2 linked regions of the Danio rerio genome follow. The protein of the gene in region 2 purifies or fractionates together with the protein of the main gene of each other region. This does not show direct contact. Links are inferred from orthologs where the notes say so. Each region holds a gene or a part of one and is shown on either strand. Other genes may lie near its edges.

Region 1 (2,997 bases), about 3.2 Mb from region 2:
ACAGGTTTCTGATAGTCCTGAAACCCAAAAGGTGTATTAAACAATACATTTTGTCATCTTAAAGGTTGATCTGCTTGAAATGTTAACTAGTGTTTGTATCTTCATTCTTGTATCATTCTTGTATCATTTGCTGCCCTCTGCTGGACATGTCAGTTACTGCTTGCCTAACTAGCTAATAATTGACATTGTTGACTATTATAAACATTCATTTCCTTAGTAACTTATTTAACAGGGGTCGCCACAGCAGAATTAACCACCAACTATTCCAGCATATCTTACGCAGCAAATGTCCTTCCAATACTGCAATGCATTCACACACACATACACTATGGCCAATTTTTTTTTTGTCTACCCAATTCAGTCTTTGGACTGTGGGGGAAAGCAGAGCACCCGGTGGAAACCCACGCCAACACAAGGAAAACATGCAAACTCCACACACAAATGCCAACTGACCCAGCCAGGACTCGAACCAGCAACCTTCTTGCTGTGAGGCCACAGTGCTAACCACTGAGCCACCATGCCACCCACTATCATATAACAAAAAGTGTAGTTCAAAACGTCAAACCCATTTTTCAAAAACATTTGTACAAACACAAAATACTCTTGTCTCTTATAAAGTCAGTTTTTAACCATAATTATAAACTTTTAATTCTCTTTTGAATATGGCAGATGATATTTCCTTCACTAGTGCACAAGTTATCCTAAGTTGTTCTGATTTGTCTGGTGCAGTCCACAAAGAGCAAAGGAAAATGACTAACTAGAAACAGACCTAATGGACCGAACATCAGGAGGGGCTGTTAAAGAAACATGAAAGTGAATCCGTCACATAAAAAAATGATAAAAAATAAATCACAGGAAAGAGTTGAACTGTACAGTTAAAGAGGTCTTCTGTTGGAACTTCAAAAACCAAATAAGTGCCTTAGAGGAAACTGAATCTGTATCCAGGCGGCAAATCTGAACCAGGCAGTAGTGGAGCAATACACACAAACAAACAAACAGGATTTGCAGCTTGGTGAGGACAAAAACACCAGCTGCAACAACCGTAATAAATTTGTTCCTTAAAACAAGTGGACCAAAGACTGAAGAGTCTAAATTGAGAACGTTCAGTGAACTTCCGTTCAAATAATTGTTTCTTTTTTTAAAAGACTTGGAGAGTAAGTTCTTGAGTTGCAGGTATTTAAATTGTCCTCTGGTTTGAAGTTTCAGTCCTCTTTCTTTCTTTCTGTTGTTGCTGCTGCAGGTCTCAAATCAACTGGCACTAAACATTATGCTGATCCATGAGTGGATGGTGGTTGACTGGTCAGAACAGAAAAGTAGCATTCAAACATTCAACTGATGAAAAAGGTTTTAAACTACTTACTGAAACTGTGGACCATATAAAGAGAAAGTTATCATTTTGGGGGGGTCAAATAAAACTACTTTTTATGACAAAACAAGGCATTTAAAAACTTAAATCAGGAAAAAGAAATCATAAAAAAAAATAAAAACTTTAACGTCAACCCTTCCTGAGAACAATATGAAAAATAAATACACCCCATTGCTTGTTCCTCTGTGTGCATTTGAATTTGTGTGTGTGTGTGTGTGTGTGTGTGTGTGTGTGTGTGTGTGTGTGTGTGTGTGTGTGTGTGTGTGTGTAGGGCAGAAAGGTTCACGCATTCAGTCCTGATTTACTTGGCTAGTCTGTCAGTATCCCTGTAGTCCGTTATAAACCTTTTGAGATGGTGCCTGTTTCAAAAGCTGTTTTATACCTGGAGAAAAATGGAAAGAAAGAATTTATTAACTCAGAAATAGCAGAATATTTTTTAAACACCTCATATGTAATTTTTAAGACTACAGTCTCTCTATATAAAATAATAGACCAAAAGTCAACTGTTCTCTTACCATCTTTCTGCTGGTCATCAAGTTGCTCCTTGGGAAAATCTACATCAAAGGTGATTATGAGCGATCCACGAATATTGTTGTTGTCAAAACTTGGTAGGCCCTCACCCTTCTTCCAAATACGAGATCCTGGTTTAGTGATTTTATCTCTGACAATATGCACCTGCAAGAACACAAGAAGAGTTTGTGAGGAGTCTTATTTGAGACATAGGAGATGCAGAATTGGATGTGATTGTTATCAACCAAAACATCTGTACAAAGTTTACATACATTAAATGAAAAATACAGAGCATAATATAGTTCTATAAAAAATATCATTACAAACATTATTGCAAATTTAACAGGACTATTTTCTACTGTGTTTTTTATGTAGAGACTGCTGTGTCACATGATGATTCCTCCAGAAATTAACATTTCAAGATTTACATTATTTTCAACATATGATCAGAGTTGTTCAGCTTCATATTTGAGTAAAACCACATTCACTACATTTAAATGTTTGGGGCAAGTAAGACCGCTCTCTTTTTTGTTTAAATGAACATTTATTCAACAAGGATGCATTACACTAATAAAAAAAGACAGTAGAATGAATAATGTTAACAAGATAATGTTAAATATTTATATTCCAAATAAATTATGTTCTTAAAGCTTTTGTAGACAAAAAAATAATAAAATAATTATTATTGTTTAAAGAAATAAATAATATTTTATTATAATCATTTCTGAAGGACCATTTGACATTGAATACTTAAATAATGGTTGCTGAAAATTCAACACTGTAATCACAGGAATAAATGACATTTTAAAATAGATATTTAATGACATTCATATTAAATTTATTTCTTTATATCAACAGGATTGGCTATAAGCCCACCAAGTATTCAATATATAATTTACAAATATATAATTTACAATTATAAGCAATTTATAATCATTGACTGTTAATCATGCATTGTACAAATAAACATACAAGTATACAACATACAAATGACTTTATCAAGATACATTTTCAAAAATTTCTCAAGGAGAAACCTTTTCAAACATTTCCCTTCAAATTCCAATCTAATAATTTATACATTCTATTAAAATATAGTTTATAGTTTTCTTCCTTTTTCAATA
Region 2 (4,282 bases):
GTTTTACAACATTCTTCAGTATATTTTCCTTTGTGTTCGACAGAAAAAAGAAACTGACACAAGTGGAGGATCAGTAATGGGTGAAAGAATTCAAATTTGAGTGAACTGTCCTTTACTTTGCCACTAACTCATTTTACCCATTTTCAGCAAGGATTTATTAAAATCCCTTTATGTATACAATTTCTTTAAATTTTCTATTCTATTAAAATACTTTGATATAAATACTATAATATTTTATACATATTCTAATGAATCATTATACTAATTAATAACAAATAAAAAATATGATAAAAAAACATTAAAAACTTATATATAAAACATCAAAAGTAATGTCTTTTATGTATATTTAAAACAAATCTGTTTTAAACATAAAAACAGTCGTATTTTAGTACTTCAAGTTAAAATATATTTTTTTTTAAATACAGTTGCTTTGGTCCATAATTGTATTTTAATATATTATTTCAGTTAGCGTTTACTTAATTAAAAGTAATGCATTTTTATGGTTTTAGTTACTGAGAAAACCCTGATAGAGGTGAACTCACATCAATGATGATGTCGAGGTGTGATGCGGCAGAGCTATATTCTCGGTGTTTGAAATCACTCTGTGCCTGCGACACCAGTCTCTGAATTTCATCAGACTTCTTCAGCTGACTCTGTGCTTCCTGCTCTTCCCTGCTGCTTGGGTTTGATTTGAGCTGATGACAAAAAGACACAGCGTTATCCTTAAGAGAATATATGGATAATATGTTTCAGAACAGCACAATAGTTTTATTATATTAGACTTGTAATTTACCCCACTGACCACCTCTGCCGAAGGAAGATTAAATTAAATCATGTTTTATTATAGGTGATACACTTGAAATTGTGACATGTAGAAAGCACTGTAATTTGGCAGATTTTGAACAATGATCTCAAAACTTCTTTCCATGCTAAATAGGCATACACTGATCAAACAGTTTTAGTTTAATACATAAAACCTGAATATTTAAACACTGTGTTCAACCAGCACTGATCTTATTTGCAATATTTCTGCCTCACTTTCATAACAGTTTCAGAATTATTTAACGATATAATACAAAATGCAACGCACTGTAAAGAGTACAAAAATTATATACATTTGAATGAAACCTACAACATATCTGTCACAATTTAATATTTAAATAATTTAAATAATATATGACATCTGGAAATTGTGTGGATTATTGTAAGAAGTCATTTATAGTACAGACTAAGAATTGTCTAGAAGTATCTGATTGGTGCATCCCTGATTACGAACCTAATGTTACTCACCACTTTTTTGAAATCACTTTCAGCTTCATCAAGTTTACCGTGTTTCAGCAGTAGGTTTCCTCTCTGAAGCCTTGCCTGAGTATTGAAAACAAACAATGTTCATTTTTGGATGAAACCATGTGAAAATATGTTGAAATTCTGAAAAAAAAAATTGATATAAAAATATTACATATAAAAATAATAAAGGAGGCAGGCTAAGATTTAGTTTAATTCTGCACAAAATGTAATACCCTCTTATCTTAAATTTGATGGGTATTTTGTTCATTTTGGTGCATTTATTGTTACAAGACCTTGTTAAATTATTAACCTAATAGACAGCCTCGGCTGAATGAAAACATATTGCAGGAGACCTCAAAAACAAAACCAGGGTACCCAAGCATTACAGGGCCACTTTAATGTGTGCAATGAATCTGAAAACTCACCGACGTGAAGTCCGGTTTAAGTTCGATGACTTTGCTGAGGTCTGGTAGTGCAGATTTTGACTTTCCCATGGCTAGGTATACAGTTGCTCTCCTATAAAATGCCATGTAATTTTTGGGTTCTCCATCTGAAAATTAGAAAGATAGATAGATAGATATTATACATAGATAATTACTATTAGATAAATATATGTATACAGAAAGACAGAGTACACCTTATATTTCTGGGCTTGCCAGAAACCAGTGATAATACTTTATACATTTTTTAATATGAATATGTCAAAACTCAATGAATTTGTAATTTGATCAAAAACACAATATTCACTACACTTACAAAGCTGACAGAAGAAAAATAAATTGTTTTTAACCACTAAGATTGAGTTTGTCTGAAAGAACAACAGCATATACATCCCTTATGACTCAACAGTGAGCATTTTAGGGTGAACTATTGCTTTAAGAGGTACATTTTCTAATTAAAAATTAGAAATTAAATTAAGAAACTAAAACTAAATTAAGAAGACTGACCAACAGCAGCGTGAAAGTGAGAGAGAGCATCAGCCAGCTGTCCTGCAGCCAGAAGCTTCTTCCCCATCTCCAGATGATTCTCAACGCCACCATCCTTCCCTCCATTGACTCCTGCGACACATACAATACATAACAAATAAATAATCTGAAGCCTAGAATAAACCACAGAGTATAACGACGTATACTGTACACGCACTAAGTTACCTGTACCGTTCAGTAGTAAACATACCTGTAGTAGAGTAGTGCACATTCAAATAGACTGTAGTTATCATGGTTGGCATAATGCCTCAACTCAAATCTTTTTTTGTACATGTATTCACTGAGTATAGTCAGATAAACTACGTTTGAAACGACTTTAGTGAAGTACAGCAGTGGAAACCTCAGTGAAACACAGTGTCATCATACTGACTACTGTGACAGTTCACCATATGCACTTTATGAGTATCATATGTGGACATTCAGCTTGGGTTGTTTTCACTTTGTTTTGATTTTAATAATGAGAAAAACAAAGGCACTTCCTCAAACAGATGTTACGAAGACGAATTATCAGTTTACAACAAACATGGTTAAAATAATTTCTTATAATTAACCAGCACAAGGACTGATCACTTACCTTCATATCGAAGATCGATCAAAACTAGCAGGAAAGGAACGTAGCTTAGCAATTTGTGCGCCACTGGGCTTACGGCAACCATGTTTTCTTTTTCTTCCCAACGTCAAATCACTGATTTAATACATAAAGTTGGCGAAGACACGCTGGGCATTCGCATATCTGTCAGGCCAGCGGACATCATGCTCACTGGTCGTGGGTCGCTTTGATTGGCTGATATTTCTCTAAGCCCCGCCCGTCAAGCACTGCTCAACGGAGAGTAGCCACGGCATCATTATTTTGATTTAGTTTGCGCATGCGCGGCAGTGTCTGTTTCACATTGGTGGAGAGAGGAATGAAGCTGTGTGATGTGGTTACGATAAGAAACTTGTACAGTTTATCCTTCTGAAAAAGATGTTTTTATTATTTATGATAAAGTAAGACTGCCACCAGATGTGACCTTAATTGTCAAACTTTGTCATTTTATGAAGCGCTAATAAAAATAAAAAGTATCTAGTATTATCTTTTTCATAGTTCTGGGATAAAAAAGGATGCACTTACACAAGTCCTTAAATGTTGATACAGTGTAGCAGTCTCAGTTGTTTCTTTGTTTCAATTCCTGAGGTGACTGGCAGGAACTTTCAGACAATTCAGATAGTCACGCTTTTCTGTCCTGGAATCCTCATAAGAAATATGTAAACATAACATACAGTATACAGGTATTTTAAACAAAAAATCCTGTGTCTAAAAGAGACACTTTAGGTTTAAGACTTTATCTGACAAACAATTCAGGAACATTAGTAAATAATTTGTAGGATTTTTTTTGTTACACAAAACATTTTTTTAAGAAATGGTGTATATATACAAACAAATTAAGTTGAACGTCATTAAGCTTAATTTGAATGTTTAAATTCAACACAAATACATTGTTTGCAACAGTTCTGCATGCAACACTTTTTTCAGAAAGGATTTTTGTGTTTCTCAAAGATTAATTTAAAAAGTTGTAACCATGGGCCTTTGGAAGAAGATAGTTGCTTTGTTTTTGCTATAAAAAATTTGCATTTACAAATCAAAGTACTGAACATGCATCATCTGTCCAATGCTTGGTAATGGCAGTACACTTTTCAGTTAACTGACACACAACAAAAGGATGATAACCTTGTGCAACTGATACAATCACCATTTTTTAACTTCATCATTTTTAGAATAATTACTTACTCCCAGAGCAGTTCATATCGAAGTTGATATTTAGCCGCACCATGTTGGTGTTTCATAACATCTAATTTTTGATCGAGGTGGGTCATTAGCCCAAAGCTCAACCCCCGAGGAGGACCAGAACATACACTACGGACAGTGTAGCTTACCCAATTCACCCATGTCTTTGGACTTGTGGGGGAACCCAGAGCACCCGGAGGAAACCCATGCACACACAGGGAGAGCATGCAAACTCCACACAGAA

Evidence for each region.
Region 1: the proteins of dnajc3a (region 2) and dnajb11 purify together in Homo sapiens (affinity purification with mass spectrometry; 3 studies listed by BioGRID and IntAct, with this or other methods). This does not show direct contact. The link is inferred for Danio rerio from reciprocal best matches to the Homo sapiens genes DNAJC3 and DNAJB11.

Annotation. Positions count from the first base shown.
Region 1 is NC_133184.1:34,325,218-34,328,214, forward strand, and holds the end of dnajb11 (dnaJ homolog subfamily B member 11), read right to left. Parts: intron 2,042-2,997; coding exon 1,882-2,041; intron 1,749-1,881; coding exon 1,684-1,748; 3' UTR 619-1,683; downstream 1-618. UniProt on the Homo sapiens protein: As a co-chaperone for HSPA5 it is required for proper folding, trafficking or degradation of proteins.
Region 2 is NC_133184.1:31,167,939-31,172,220, forward strand, and holds the start of dnajc3a (dnaJ homolog subfamily C precursor), read right to left. Parts: upstream 3,024-4,282; 5' UTR 2,930-3,023; coding exon 2,848-2,929; intron 2,346-2,847; coding exon 2,235-2,345; intron 1,838-2,234; coding exon 1,713-1,837; intron 1,366-1,712; coding exon 1,291-1,365; intron 696-1,290; coding exon 543-695; intron 1-542. UniProt on the Homo sapiens protein: Involved in the unfolded protein response (UPR) during endoplasmic reticulum (ER) stress.